Nothobranchius furzeri: one gene and its partners. The protein of the gene in region 2 purifies or fractionates together with the protein of the main gene of each other region. This does not show direct contact. Links are inferred from orthologs where the notes say so. Each region holds a gene or a part of one and is shown on either strand. Other genes may lie near its edges.

Evidence for each region.
Region 1: the proteins of sympk (region 2) and cpsf4 purify together in Homo sapiens (affinity purification with mass spectrometry; 4 studies listed by BioGRID and IntAct, counting the BioPlex papers as one, with this or other methods). This does not show direct contact. The link is inferred for Nothobranchius furzeri from reciprocal best matches to the Homo sapiens genes SYMPK and CPSF4.
Region 3: the proteins of sympk (region 2) and cpsf2 purify together in Homo sapiens (co-immunoprecipitation; 8 studies listed by BioGRID and IntAct, with this or other methods). This does not show direct contact. The link is inferred for Nothobranchius furzeri from reciprocal best matches to the Homo sapiens genes SYMPK and CPSF2.
Region 4: the proteins of sympk (region 2) and cytoplasmic polyadenylation element-binding protein 1 purify together in Homo sapiens (affinity purification with mass spectrometry; 3 studies listed by BioGRID and IntAct, counting the BioPlex papers as one, with this or other methods). This does not show direct contact. The link is inferred for Nothobranchius furzeri from reciprocal best matches to the Homo sapiens genes SYMPK and CPEB1.

Annotation. Positions count from the first base shown.
Region 1 is NC_091752.1:65,592,116-65,596,446, reverse strand, and holds the start of cpsf4 (cleavage and polyadenylation specificity factor subunit 4), read left to right. Parts: upstream 1-1,301; 5' UTR 1,302-1,603; coding exon 1,604-1,706; intron 1,707-1,828; coding exon 1,829-1,879; intron 1,880-2,420; coding exon 2,421-2,573; intron 2,574-2,702; coding exon 2,703-2,798; intron 2,799-2,876; coding exon 2,877-2,970; intron 2,971-3,114; coding exon 3,115-3,187; intron 3,188-4,331. UniProt on the Homo sapiens protein: Component of the cleavage and polyadenylation specificity factor (CPSF) complex that play a key role in pre-mRNA 3'-end formation, recognizing the AAUAAA signal sequence and interacting with poly(A) polymerase and other factors to bring about cleavage and poly(A) addition.
Region 2 is NC_091747.1:24,049,509-24,053,268, reverse strand, and holds part of sympk (symplekin), read left to right. Parts: intron 1-3,239; coding exon 3,240-3,453; intron 3,454-3,533; coding exon 3,534-3,684; intron 3,685-3,760. UniProt on the Homo sapiens protein: Scaffold protein that functions as a component of a multimolecular complex involved in histone mRNA 3'-end processing. Specific component of the tight junction (TJ) plaque, but might not be an exclusively junctional component. May have a house-keeping rule.
Region 3 is NC_091742.1:9,301,733-9,306,266, forward strand, and holds the start of cpsf2 (cleavage and polyadenylation specificity factor subunit 2), read right to left. Parts: upstream 2,900-4,534; 5' UTR 2,749-2,899; intron 2,430-2,748; 5' UTR 2,412-2,429; coding exon 2,263-2,411; intron 2,054-2,262; coding exon 1,894-2,053; intron 1,801-1,893; coding exon 1,695-1,800; intron 1,618-1,694; coding exon 1,488-1,617; intron 1,403-1,487; coding exon 1,287-1,402; intron 1,151-1,286; coding exon 963-1,150; intron 872-962; coding exon 581-871; intron 494-580; coding exon 393-493; intron 240-392; coding exon 36-239; intron 1-35. Other genes in the region: NADH dehydrogenase [ubiquinone] 1 beta subcomplex subunit 1, read left to right, coding at 3,690-3,826, 3,957-3,993; riox1 (ribosomal oxygenase 1), read right to left, coding at 4,222-4,290, 4,373-4,459, 4,527-4,534. UniProt on the Homo sapiens protein: Component of the cleavage and polyadenylation specificity factor (CPSF) complex that play a key role in pre-mRNA 3'-end formation, recognizing the AAUAAA signal sequence and interacting with poly(A) polymerase and other factors to bring about cleavage and poly(A) addition.
Region 4 is NC_091749.1:46,243,988-46,246,441, forward strand, and holds the end of cytoplasmic polyadenylation element-binding protein 1, read right to left. Parts: intron 1,977-2,454; coding exon 1,866-1,976; 3' UTR 587-1,865; downstream 1-586.

The DNA of each region.
Region 1 (4,331 bases), on a different chromosome or scaffold from region 2:
CGGATCGGGACTCGGTATCGGCAGATTCTCAAAATCAAATGACTCTGACTCAGACTCAAGGGCAAAAAAACCTGATCGGGACATCCCTAGTACTAAGTTCTTCCATCCGGATTCTCACCAGTTCCTGGAGCTGGTAGAGCTGAGTTTGTTTTGCACATTGAATGCTAATCATCTTCTGAAATTTCCTTTTGCATATCCTTTTCCCATTTGGTTTTTACATATTGTGAATTATTTCCATTACATTTTTTAATACAGCTGTATAATTTAGAAACTACCTTGGACGGCAATTGGTTTTTCGAGTTCAGTATAATTTTAACCAGCACATTACAGTTTCCCGCTAGTTGTGGTTTCACCTGAATGTCAGAGAAATGCCTCAGTTGTAAATATCAAAATAAATCTTTGTTGCCTATTTTAAACTCTTTTTTTAACATTTTCAAAAGATTAAAGGTGGACTCTATATTTTTACATTTTTTGTTTTTGTGAAGCGCCTCGTGATTTTTATCTTGAGAGGCACTATAGAAATGATATTTTCTTCTTCTTCTTTTATTACTTTTTATGTGCTCTTGCTTACTCTTCCATGTCAGTTTGTGGGCCCCCTAGTTCCAAAAAAATGTATGAGCCAATAAGTTGTTTTCTGATCCTGTTTGAAATGTGCCATTGTTTTGACATATGATGTCTGTGAATTTAAAAAATACAATTTTATGCCAATAAAGTGTTTATTTTTGACAGGTGACAAAAGTTACTTTAGGTTTTGTGTAAATGACGTAGAGGACGGTCTACAAATACTTGTCTCACCAAATTTATGTAATTGAACCAGACACAGAGAAGATGAGAAAAAGAATGGTGACAAGCTGCAAATCCTTCCAGGATGAAAGAAGATACATTAAATATGGAGAAAACCACCACAAATCTGGCCATGTGGTAAGTAGCAACTATGCTGGGGGAGAAGAGACTCAGCTGTGACGTCACAGACCCAGCGTCAGATCAGTAGTGATTTTAATTACGAAATTGTACAAACAAATAAATTTTAAACTATGTGACAGACAAACGAAAATTAAAAATGACTACATATTTTAAAACAGAAAAAAAAACTCACTATAAAATAGGAATCTAGTAAGGTTCATCCTGGAAATAATTTTACAATTCATAATATTCTTCTCAATAAGTACTCTTCTCATTTTTCATGAAACAAAAAATTAAAGCAAAAATAAAAAAATAAAAAATAAAAAATAAAGAGGCAAGCATTTTCCAAGTGAAACGTGAAAGGCCTCGTTTATCGATTAGTTCAGTCTAGATCCGTCAGCTCGGTGATCGTTGTGCGCGCGCCAACACCGTCACGCTGAGCAACGAGTAGAACGATAACTAAAACGGAACTGACAGACCTGAACCACGGTCAGAAGTTTTTTTTTACGCAGTAAAACTACAAACTTAGTTTATTTACATGTTTTCTAATTATATTTTGTTAATCTGTTTGACCGTCAAGTTTCGTTAGCCTACGCTTTCGTTAGTGTGCGGATGAGGTAGCTAAGCTAACAGGTTCGATTTCAAGCTAGCACAGGCGAAAACAACTTATTTGGCTTGAGGGCAGAAAACCAAAGCAAACATGCAGGACTTGTTGGCCACCGTGGATCACATCAAGTTCGATCTGGAACTAGCTATGGAGCAGCAGCTGGGAGCGCAGCCTCTGCCTTTCCCCGGCATGGACAGTAAGTGTAGGGATGCTACCTGCTATTAGCCGCTTTATCTGAATGAACCCTAATGAGAGAGCTAACGGCAGGTACACACATGCTTGTGTTAATCAGTTCTGTGCTAATGTGTCCCCCTGTAGAGTCAGGGTCAGCTGTGTGTGAGTACTTCACCAGAGGAACCTGCATGAAAGGTAAAAAAATATAATTTCAGTAGTTTTTACTTCGTTTTGTTGTTGGTCACGGGTCCATGTGTGTTTCCATTAGACACACAAATGCTGCTTATTTTATTTTAATCTGAAACGTTCATCAAAGCTTTACAATTCTAAATAAAATGTATTGGTAACCCTCCACTCACTGGTTGTCTCCGCATCATGGTTCTGAATTCCTAATAAAATTCTTTCTAGTGTGCAATAGAGACTATAGCTAAACCGGTGCAATCTTTTCATAAACAGACCTTTTCTATTTATAAAGTGTTTATTGTTACTCTTTGTCACATTTTTATGTTACTTATGATTCTCACTTCTATTTTTATGCCAAACACAGAGTCAACCACCGCTTCTGATCTCGCTCTTCCTTGTAGTGACATTAACATAAAAGATTTGATTTGTATGACAAAAGAGGAGAAAGTATTTTGACTTGATTTCTTCTGACTCTTGTTTTTGTAGCTCTGCAACAACCCGACTTTGCAGTTGTTCAAATGAGATGAATGTTGTAACTGTGAATGTGATTCAGGTGGGATGTGTCCGTTCCGTCACATCAGCGGAGAGAAGACGGTGGTGTGTAAACACTGGCTCAGAGGACTGTGTAAGAAAGGAGACCAGTGCGAGTTTCTCCATGAGTATGACATGACAAAGATGCCTGAATGCTACTTCTACTCAAAGTTTGGTTAGTTGACTTTCTCTTTATCTTTAACACATTAAATGAATTCTAAGTGTGGCTCTTGTGCCTCTTAACCACTCAACACTTGTCTTCAAGGCTCTGAATATTTTATTTCTTATATGTGTTGACCCCCAGGTGAGTGTAGCAATAAGGAATGTCCCTTCCTGCACATTGATCCAGAGTCTAAGATCAAAGACTGTCCATGGTACGACCGAGGCTTCTGTAAACACGGTAAGATCCGGCATGTGGGTGAGAAAAACTCTTTTTCTGCTCTTTCTTCAAACGGCTTCTGGATGTTTGTGTGTTCAGGGCCTGACTGCAGACACAGACACACAAGAAGGGTGATCTGTGTGAACTACCTGGTGGGTTTCTGTCCAGAAGGAAAGTCCTGTAAATTTATGCAGTAAGTCATTTGTTTTATTTGATTTTTTACATAAATTACCTGTTTAAGATCCAGTTTTTATTTAGTAAAAGTGGATTTTTGGGTTAGGAGATTCTGAAATAACACAATCAAAGATGTAAAATTTACTGAGATGTTTTCCTGCAGCCCCCGGTTTGAGCTGCCTATGGGAACTTCTGAACAGCCTCCTCTTCAACAGCAACTTCAGAACCAGACAAAGGTACGACCACTCACTCACAAATTTATTAAACAACTCTTAGTTCAGCCAACTTTAAAAAAATTATTTTTTCTGCCTTTTTGAAGCAGGTGAAATACATAAATATTTACTATTTTTTCTAAAGAGCTTCTAGAAAAGCCTCTGTTGGGAGAAATAAAGTTTAAGTCTGACTGGACTGATGAGCTAATGGCTAGTCTTGGAGCTACTGAAGTGTGTTGTTATCTGCAAACAGCACCAATCTTTAGAATTAACTCTTTGGGCCCTGGCGCCTCCCAATTGGAGGCCTTTGGAGTTTCATGTCCCAAATGTCAGTGATTGTTTGCATTCCCCGAGTACAGCTACAATCAAAACAGTTTCGATTTTAAACAAAGCAATTTTTGGATTTTGATAAATTAAGATAAAATAATACTTGAACTTAATTTTAGAAGAGGAGGGCTGTGTGACAGGGTGGAGGTTGTGAGTTCAAATTCGATTTCAGAAATTTAGTCTTATTTTATTTATTCCAGGGGTCCTCAACTAAGTTTGTTCAATCGTTTTTTGCAGCAGACACCAGTGAAGGCCAGACGCTTTTCTAAAAGTTCAAATATCATTGTATCTTAATTTATTACAATTTAAAATGGCCTTGTTTCCCATCTGGGCTGTTTGATTGTGGTTTTAGTTGTTTGGAGAATGTGGACAGTTGTAGATGTTTGGGACATGAAACTGTAGAGGTCCCCAATAGGGGGCGTTAAAACAAGAGTTTGAGTAGGGCTGTGCAATAAACCGAAAATGTATCGTTATCGAGGAGAAATCCTCAATATATCGTGATATTGATTTTAGGCCAAATCGCCCAGCCCTACTTTTGAGACACATTCACTGCCATCCGTATCACATGACATGGAATTATCTGGTTATTTTCCAGCAGCAAGTCAGGGGTTAAGTCCTCCTGGAATTACTTAATGTTTCTCCTCTTTCCTATTCATTTTCTCTCCCTTTCCTCGCAGTTTTTAAATTTATTGTAATTTAAAAAAAATTTTGTAATTGTTTTTTAAAAATATTTTATGTATGTAAAATTGTTAGTTTTTGTGAAGCACCTCATGATTTTTATCTTGAGAGGCGCTAAATGAAAGATAATTTTCTTTCTTTCTCGAAAGAACCATAGAAGAAA
Region 2 (3,760 bases):
CAGGGCTTTGGGGGTCAGGTCCTGACATTTATGCTGCCAGGAAGAAGGTGGGAACATACGGCAGTGCCTGGCCCGGGCTCAGCGGCCTCGGGTAGACCTTGGCTCCTCTGCTGTTCCATCACAGGGGAGGGGGAGGACCCAACCTTACCTGGATGTCCTATGTCTTATATGTTCTGGAAGCTGTGCAAATGCAGGGATGGGAGTAGATATTCTGCTGGGGTGGGGCTGCGTTGGTTCCCTCGGACTCCATGGAGCTCTGCAATGCTGCTGCTTTGGCCTTGGCAAGATGGGCTGGGGTCTCCATGCCCTGGGTGGCATTTTGGCAATGGAAGTGCCTATTGGGGCCAGTGGGAGCTGGCGCCCTGGAGGGCTTAGGCCAACCAGCCATTCCTCCCCATCCCCACACATTTTTCTCCTCCTGCTCCCTCACATCATCACACAAACATGCACATAGGACTTTGAGGGGTGGACAAGTCAGGGGTGCAGGTATGGACCCCATTTCTGCATTCCTGTGGCTGCCTGCCCCCCAATTTTATTTGCAAATTAAACACTTCCACCAACGACATTCCACGCAAACACACACTTAGGGCCTTGGGAGTAAGCACATTCAACGGCATTTGGCAAGGGGATCTTTCAGCCTCATCCCATGTGCCAGTGCCCACTTCCAATTTTAAACTGCACTTAGACACAGAGGGCTGTGGGGGGAAGAGGGGCGGTGTGGTGGCTAGGGCTGTCACGGTAACCGCAAAAATGAAATATCGCAATATGAAGAAACCCACCGCGCTGCATCATGAGCCACCGCGATTACTGAACTTGATTCAACTCAATGATGCATGTTGAGAAGGATGGCTGCACTGGTATCAAAACGAAACGTTACTTCGCTCCTTTGGGAGCACTTTGGTTTTCAGTATGTGAGCTGCTGCGCAGCCAGAGTCCTTGGCCGAGACAGAGCTGCCACCAGCGGCAAAAAAATAATAATAAACGCTCGGAGACCTGCTGAAGTCCCGGACAAGCACTGCTTCTGCAACCGTCCCGAAGAGAGTTTGAGCCGAGCTGGAGCTCACTCGCTACCTGCAGGAGGAATGCATCCACCCTAAAGAAACCCCCCTGACATGGTGGAGCAACAACCGGGAGAGATTCCCTTTGCTCGCCAGTCGCACGCAAGTACGTGTGCGTTAGTGCAACGAGCGCACCATCCGAGAGGGTTTTCAGTGTTGCTGGAAATATTGCCACCCCTCTCAGATCCTCTCTCAAAGCGTATATAGTTATCATGCTGGTTTTCCTTGTGGGTAACAAGGACGTGACCGAGCTATAAAGCACCGTCATTCGTGTGTGTGAAAGTGAAATGATAGTGCCCCGCGCCAGGTACATGTAATTTTTATGCTTGATTTTAAACAGCTAAACAAAATGGGGACTTGTTTCTTATTTGTTAGGTGCTGCAGCCAAATTTGCATTTAAAAGTTTAACCTCCTGAATTTTGTTGTTTTTAAGTTCAGTCGGACTCCGACTGTCGGAGAAACAAACGTTACTGCGATCTGTGTTGTTACTGCCCTTTGATCTGCATTCAGTAAAGTGTTATAAAAGAAGGCACGGCAATTTTTAACCTTTTTTAAATGTGTAAACATTATGTTTAGATAGTACTGCAATAAAAAGAAAATGCTGCAATAATATCGCACACCGCAATATTAAGCCACCCTGAATCACCGCAGGGGGAATTCCTCAACCGTGACAGCCCTAGTGCAGGCATCAGCTGGCGTAGGCCAGACGATGCCTGCACTGCCCGCTCACCACAGCCACAAATACACCTCATCAACACGCACCAACACTATACTGGAGCAGGCAGAGTGAGACTAGGGGTCTTAGCACACCTCTGTTGTCGCTTGGCTTCCTGGGGCTGGAGGCTAGGAGGGAGATCTGGCCGTCTGGCTGGGGTCTGGGGTGGTGGGTTGCTGTGCTCAGCGTTGGGCGGGGGAGCCTGCTCATCAGCACCCCAGCAGAAAGGGTCAAACTCTGGTAACCGGTGATGGTTGTACCCCCTGTGCAGCAGTACCGGGACCAGAGTGAATAGGGTGTGTATGGGGAGCATGAGTGGGTGTCTGGCATGCATTTTTGTGAGTCTTAGGTTGTATGTGCATGTGTGAGCATGAAGGAGGGAGTGTGTGACTGTGTTTGTGTATGACTGTATATGTCAGGTGGGGCTTTTGACTCCTCCCCTCTCCTGGGACTTCTGCGTCTGCCTGACCAATCCCGGTGGCTGCCTGGTGGGATCTGGGTCCCTGGACTCTGTTGGGTCCCCAGCGGGGCTGGTCGCCCCTGGGTCCCGGGACACTGGGTTCCGGGCTCGGCCGGCTAGGGGGTGGGAGGTTGCGGGCGGGCCTGAGGGCTTGCCGCTGATATCTCCCGGGACTCAGCCAGCTACTGGTTGTGGCCCCCCGGGGCGATCCTCTGCTCCTCTCGAGGGGGCAGGGGCTTTTCTGGTCTCAGTCTCCTTGGGGTCCCTGTGCTCTGGGGCAGTACCTGAATCTCTGGGACTTGGAGCTCCCTCCGTCTCCTACACATCTTTGGGGGGCAGATCTGTGGCCCCTCACACTCTGTTGGACGCTCCTATAGAGAAACCTTACATGGGTACACACGACGCACACAGGTGCTCACATGGTGCTCTCATAAGTATGGACTTGGGCACGTTCAACACATATCATCTGTGGTTGGCACTAAATGCACTGTGATGTATGTGTGATTGTTCAGTTAAACAATGTTGACTTTATATTTCTTCATCAGGTTGACGCGGTGATAGCTTGCTCCTGTTGTATGTGTGTCCCTTTTCTTTTTTTCTTTTTTTTCCTCCTTCTGCAGGTCTAGAAGCTCTTGTTCATCATTGATTGATTGTTTTTGTGGAACCTCCCCCCCCCACACACACACACACACACACACCTTTTGTCTTTTCCTTTCTCTTTCACCTCTGTCTCCGTGTCTGGTAGGAATAACAAAGCATTCAAAAACAATAACAATAAAGTTTTAAGTATCAGGCGTGACATTAAAAGCAAACGCTTTGATGCTCCACCTGAGAGTAAATCTGTAAGGCTTGTCACCAGCATTCAGACATCAATTCTGTTTACTTCACAGCCAGACAGGACAGGGGGAAAAATAAATTTAAAAAAAAAGGAATACTGGGTACTGCTGAGTTCTATGGTTTTATTCTCTTTCTGACCATTTCTAATACCTGAAATGTTCTGTTGTAGGTCTGGAACAGTGCAAATCCAGAGATGATGAAGGGGGTAGAGAGGAAGAAGAGGACTCTGATACAAAAGACCATGCTGTCAAGCATAAAATTCCTTCTGAGATGGTGGGTCAGGCCATTTCTGTAGTGGGGAGTTACACTGGGAAACCCCTCAGCACAGAAGCTCCAGCTGTCAAAAAGCTTCCTGAACCCATTCTCCCCTCGGCACAAACCAAGTGAGGCTGCAGCTCAGAGAAAACGTCACAGTCAGAAACATCTGCAGCACCTGTAATTTGATTTTATTGTTTTTCTGCAGGATGAGCGGGGCAGGTGGGAGGAAAAAGGTGTTTCGACTGTCCGACGTTGTTCAGCCTTTTTCAGACTCCCAGATTGAGGTGTTAACTTCCAAAGCGGTGAAGCGCATTTTGCTCTCAGAAAAGGCGATTTCTCAAAGTGGAATGTCCCATGTGAGTGATGGTTAGGTTTTATCACCAGGTTTATGCTCGTGTGGGTTCCCCTGCATCCTGTGGGATTTTTGACTGT
Region 3 (4,534 bases), on a different chromosome or scaffold from region 2:
CTGTGTGACATTACTGAGCATAAACACTTCAGTACCTGATGATCTCTCCATATTCGTCCCATTTAATCCTCTCCTCGTGTACCGGAAACATCGGGTAAGACTTTTTAGCCTGTTTGAAGAAACTGCCTTTACGGCTCCCCTCGCTCTTCATCATCAAGTCGTGATGCTTGGTTTTCACCGCAGCTAGGTGATCGATGTCATCCTCCACGTCGCTCTCATCACTCGAGTCCACATCCACCCTGCAAACCCAGGAAGTAGAGTGGAACAAGCACAAAACAGATTAAAATCACCTAGAAGGTCATTTATTTCTGTTCTCTGACATCGACAGGTTCAAACTGCTGAGAAAGAGTCAGAAAAATACATAAACTCTTCCTTTTCCTACTGAGACTCACTCTTTTGCTTGTTCGAGTTTTTTTGCTGCTTCCTTCTTCACTTTCTCCTTCTCCAGATATTCCTCCAGGTCCTTGCCCTCGAGCTTCACTCTTTTCCTGACCTGCCAAAAATAAAACAAAACATTTTAAGTGTGAAAGTAGGAAACAAAGACCACGTGAAAAGTTGGTCATCAAAAACCCAGTCTCACCTCCAGATCCAGCATCGTTTCCCCAGGGTTGTCGATGAGGTAGCGCGCCAACGTTCCAGGTGTGGTGCGGTAGGTCAGGATGATGGAATTTTTTGCGTTTTGACACCACTGAATAAAAAGTTCTCTGGAAAAACCAGACTCAAGGTCTGGCTGGCTACAAAGCACCACCTTGGGGCTGGGGACCCGGGCCAGGTCTGCCAGACTGTGACACAGGGTCAGGTGTCGGAACTGGAAGGGATTGTTTCTTTTATCCTCAAAACACCTCATGAGTTTGTCGCTCATCCACTCCACCTACAGGAAATTAGAAATGCGGTAGTTTGTCATATTTCCTACGAGGTCTCCGTTTCAATACTAAGGAAGTGGGAAAACCAGTGACTGATACCTGGGACTTGGAGAATTCCACCACATTGTAACTGACATTGTTGAGCAGAGCTAACGGGTAAACTCCCAGTCCAGCATCCTTTGTCCTCCAAATCTGGTCCAGGAGCTGTGCCAGCTCCAGGACGCGTCCAGCCGTGTCCACGGAAATAAGGACATTCCCATCCCCACGCAAGGTCTCCATTACATTAGCTGTAAAAGTAGGACAATTAGTGAAGGGAGAACATTAAACATGCAAGCTGAAACCCTAACACCTATTTTCAAGAAATTCTTTCAATCTAGTTTAAGCTTGATGCTAAAATTGGTAACCGTTGTGAGGACAACTTACTGAGCAGCAGCTCATCTCTTTGCTTGCGGCGTGGTTGTACATAAGTAGCATTAAAGGAGTCAGTAATCAGTAAGGATGGACGACTAATGCTCTCCAAAGTGCAGCCATTCAGGTGGCTGAAACAGAGAGGAGTAAAAGAACACATCAGCTAAAACCCGACAGGCTACCAGATTTCTGTTTTATACAAACACCTCTGCCTACATTTCTCTCTTATGGTTAAAGTCCACTGCATAGACAATTTCCTCCTCTCCATCCTTGACAATCTTCCATATGGTGCCTCCGATCATGTGTCCAGCAGGAAGAGGAGTGATGGAAAGGCCATGGCCTTTACCTGTGAGGAAAATTAGATGATTTTAACCACATAAACTGGAGGGTTCTTTAATCTATAATGGATTGTAGGATGCTCACCTTTCAGACTGACAATCTGAGAGTACTTCAGTTGCTGGATTTTGTCAAAAGCACTGTCTACGTCATCAAGGGTGAAGAGCGTGAAATCTTCACTGTTGTTTCGAGACTGAGGGAAAGGGAAAATATTTAAAAAAAACAGAGTTTTATGCAAAACAATGTATATGTTAGCATTTTTTAATATAATTACAATTTTAAGTACCTGATATAAATCATACATGAACATCTGACCCATTTTGTAGACCGGAATGGTGGCATAGATAGTACAGTTTAGACCCAGCTTGCCAACAGCATAGGGCAGGGCTCCCAGGTGAATGGGGTCAGGGTGGGACAGCAGCACTGCATCGACCTGATGAACATATCTGGAAGAGATGATGAACAATATTTTTGATTGCAGAACAAACACAAAATTAAGTGAGCTAGGGGTGGAAAAACTACTTAAGTCATGAGTTCAAACTGATTTTACAATAAAGAAATAAATAAATGTTTTCAGCAACTCTGGAAAATGTGTGAACAACCCATTCCTTCTTGTGGATAGCTCTTATTGTTAATTATGGTTTGACATTGTTACCGCTTCATGGCATCAATAATGTCCATTGAAAAGTTCTCGTCCCATCCACAGTCCAGCAGGAAGCGAAATTCATCCACCTGCAGCAGGTAACAGAGGGCAGACTCCTCCTGAACCCCTGACACGGCTGTCAGCTTGATAATGGACGTCATTTTCCTTCACTTGTCTCGCTGAAATGACACAACAGAGCCCACAAGTACAAACAACTTCAACGTCTATTTCTTGAAACTAGTTTGAATATGAACAAAACCACGCACACATGTGCCATTATTTTACCGAACAATAATAGTGAATTTCATATCACTGTGAGTACAAGGGCTTGTATTCATCTCGTTACAAAGGTTAAAACGTAAGAAAATCTAAATGAAAGCTGTCTGATTTTCGCAACAATTGTTGTCGAATTACCCGGCAGTCTGCTTAGCCTGCTAGCTTAGCCACATATTAGCTTGCGTATATGAATGAACAAAATCAAGGGAATGGGAGACATACCATCAAATACAAGAAAAAAATAAATATTATCTTTCGCAGTAACAGAAAAAAACGCCTAAATGTGGGGGTTTTCTTGTAATAATAACATCCAAGACATTTTTGTTAGCAATTAACAGCTCGACTAGCGGCCATGTTTTCACGTTCGTCACAGGTGAAAGGGCAAATGAACGTACCACTTACAGTCAAGAAGTTCTAAATCAAAACACATAATTTAAAGTTCTTTATATTAAACTTAAAACATAAAAAATGCAAAAAATTGGAATTCAATATAATGAATATAGAATATAATGAAATAAATATGTAAGTATTTATCGATTTTCATGATCACGTGATCCTTTTGCATTTGGTAGAGTCCACGAATGTCCTTCGTTTGGTGAAGGAAGACCTGAAGGCCACGACTGTGTTAAAAAGCGGGTAATTTCTGGATTTATGTTTTATTGTCTGAGTCTGATAGTTATAAAAGCTTTGAGCGAACGTTTATTAAACTAAACATTAACAGGTAAAGTTATTTATAACCAAACGTCGCAGTAGTCGCTAGTGTTTAGCATGTTAGCTGTGGAGGAACGCTTTAGCTTCAACTGAATGCGGTGTCCAGCTGTATTTTCGGTTACATTTCAACATTTTCTTTGCTTAATAAAATGTCCTACATCATATATTTTAGGGGGATGTTTTGTTTATTGCATTTGATCCAACATCAATAAGCTGATGGCCATAATTATGTCGTTGTTTTGGAGCTTGGCTCTTATGAACATGTTTTCTTTTGTTTAAAAAAGAAAAAATAAATTGGATAATAACATACTACAACTGAAAACAACTCCCACCCCCAAAAAAGAGCAGGAACAAGCTTAAACTTGATTGATACCAGTAACAAGCTTTAGTGAATATAAAACATAATCAGTACTATGAAGTTAGTACAACTCTGTGCTTTTTTTGTAGGAACCATGGTGAAGTTTGCTCTTTCTCAGATAAACTGGACACACGTATTGGTTCCTATGGGTTTTGTGATCGGATGGTACCTTGATAAACAACAAGACCAGAAGCTGACAGCTTTCAGGAACAAAAGTGTGTTGTTTAGAAGGTAAGAAACCTCACACACACATACCACGGTCTCACAATTCATCTAACTTTGCAAGCAGCAAGTTCAGGTGTGGAATAAAGATTTTTTTAATGCAGCCACATGGAAAACAAACCTCCTTTCTTCTTGATAGAGAGCTGAAGCCTGGCGAAGAGGTGACCTGGAAGTAGATGCCCAGACAGTCCTGTCAGCTGAAGTGTGAATGGTTGATGGATGGTCTTCAAATCGCTTAATTGAAAAACATCCTGTATATTATTTTGAGTTGTATCAACTAAAAAATAAACATGCCCTTTGTGTTTCAAAGAAATAATGTTTATTTTATACATTATGTATCAAAAAGCTGCGAAAGAACCGTATCCATGACTACTGAAGTTTGTTTATGAACATGGTCGGTGTAATTAAGCTATCTGAGGAGGCTCAGCTGTGCGGATAATCCCCTTCTCAAAAAGCAGTTCGGCCAAAGCAATCTGTGAGGAGAGAGGAAACTAGATTATTTTCAGAAATTCACACCATTAAGGCACAGAAACGAGTTTGAATGTCAGAACCCACCTTGTCCTGAGCAGAGTCGCATGGCAAGCCTCCTACTGTCACAAAGTTGGGATACGAGTGGATCAGAAACTCAACGGCATCCGTGTGCTAAAGATAAATAAAGTACCAATTAGAATGTAGATGAAATCTTATAGACAGATTTAATTATTTCTACCTCTGTTT
Region 4 (2,454 bases), on a different chromosome or scaffold from region 2:
TGTCGGACAGTCTTGTGAAGAGAATGCTCAGGGTTGTCCATCATTTTCTTGATTCTCTGGAGAATCCTTCTTTGCATTATCTCCTCCAGTGGTTCCACAGTCGTCCCCAGAACAGAACCAGCCTTTTTTATTAGGCTGTTGAGCCTTTTCAGGTCCCCGTTTCTGATGCTACTACCCCAACAGACGATGGCTCAACAACAGACTTTTAGAAGATCTGCAGCATCTTGCTACAGACATTGAAGGACCTAAGCATCCTCAAGAAGACCAGTCTGCTGTGTCCCTTCTTGTAAACGGCTTCGCTGCTCTTTCTCCAGTCCAGTCTGTTGTCCAGGTGAACTCCAAGGTATTTGTATTCCTCAATCACCTCCACTTCTCCCATGGTGCAAACAGTGTTTGACTCCACCCTGTTTCTTCTGCAGTCTAAAATCATCTTTGTTTTTGTTCATGTTCAAGTGAATTAGGTCAGCTAAAGCAAAACTGAAATAGAACAAGACCATCCTGATCTGTATAAAGAATCAATACCAATGTAAAACTGAAAAGCTTAAATGCACATCTGAAATAACAAACCATTTGGAGCCCAGACATCTTAATGCTTAAACACCTTTATTGTGCCCAATCTGAACATACTCCACAATTAAGTAGCAGCAAACTTGGCAGACCACAATGAGGTAGACTTTCAAAACTCTAAAAAGCAGCTGGGCTAAAAGACAACAAGCTCAGCATGACAAACCTAACAAATAAAGAAAGACACTCGTCTTTGGCACACAACGTATGCATTTACATCCAACTGGAACAGGAAGGTTAAATGGCATAAGAATGAGGGGATCATTTATAGAAGGGGGGGGGGGGGTCTACTCAAGTTCTGGATAGTTAATCAGCTAAGTGGAAGTTCTTACATCAAACAGGAAACAAGCAGCAGGTTTAACAGGCATGTCCCCCATCAATGTACAAAAGTGATTAAAAACCACTGCCACCTCTCCACACGTGCAAATTAAAATGTGGGGGGAAAGGGAATAAAGTAAACAGTCAAATGACTCCAGTTTCAAATGGGATCTATTGAGTGCTCTAGAAGCAGTGGATTACCAATTGACGCACTAGTACTGATGAATATTTAATAACTGGATCAAAGTGAGCAGAAGTATTACATCCAACATTTTGTGCCCATTCAGCTGAAATACGGAAAGGCAAATAAAAAAAGCCACTGAAATGTATGAAGAAAAAATAAAAAGGGGGGTTTCCCATCAACAGCCACCTTATATAATTGTTCAAAATTTTCATGTTATGACTTAAAACCGTTTGTGTACAAATTAGTAAAAAACTGCGTAAAAATGTCTGAAATGCGACTGGTTAAATGAAGCCCAACATTCAACTCCCAAAAGTAAGAAACCAGTTGGCTTGTACAGGAAAACTGGTGCCAACTGGCATAAGGGGAGGGAAGAGGGGAAAAAATAAAAATTTAAAGGCACTGTATGGCATTTGCCAATGAATGGCAATGAGACTTGCGTGATTGCTCTTCACTATGCAACACATTTAAACAAAAATAATCAAAACAAAGGGCATTTTCGTCCACCTCATAACGTTAGGCTGACTCTCACTTTGTCTGGCCACAAGTCTGAGAAAATGCTTTTAGTGTGAAGGGCCCCTTGTTTATTCCCAACAAGGTCACTGCATAGTGCCACTGTGAACAGCAAAAAAGTAGCAAGTGCAAAAGTGAACATTTTCTACAGTGAAAACCCCAGTGCCTGGTGGAGTGCCACAGTGCCCCCATACCGAGGGACGCCCGACACCCGTGCTCTCGCCGGCGGGCAGCCTCGCTCTGTAGAGGCTCCTCCTCTGACCCTGCAGAGTGTCTAGATCCCTCTGCTCTAGCTGGAGTCCCTGTTCTTCTGGTTGCGCATGAGGGGCCGATGGTTGCTCAAGATGTCCATCGAGTGCTGCCAGTGCCAGCAGGAGCGGCAGTAGTACTTGAAGCAGGCCTGTATAAGATCAGAAACTTAGAATGCATGTCACCTTCAACTTATAAGTTTATTTTACTGCTAAAGGTCAATCAAATCTAAATAGATTTATAGTTATTCAAGCAGCAAATAAGCGCCATCTGTTAAAATGTATTGAGAAAATAATTCTCTTGATTTTAAGTTAAATTTCTTATGGGTGCTCATTTACTGCCACTAGGGTTGTCACGGTGTGAAAATTTAACCTCAGTTATTGTGACCAAAATTATCACGGTTTTCGGTATTATCGCGGTATTTTTTTTAAACGTGTTACATTTTCAAACAACTAAATAAACCCTGTATATCCGGAAAATATTGTCCTCAAATTGTGTCTCAATTTTGCCTAAAATGTGTCATTTTGTAATCATGTTGTTTATTTGTTTACATATTTCCCCTTTAGTCTTTAAAATGCCAATATAGCGTCATTTCAACATGGGGGTGTCCGCGACACTGTTTATATGCA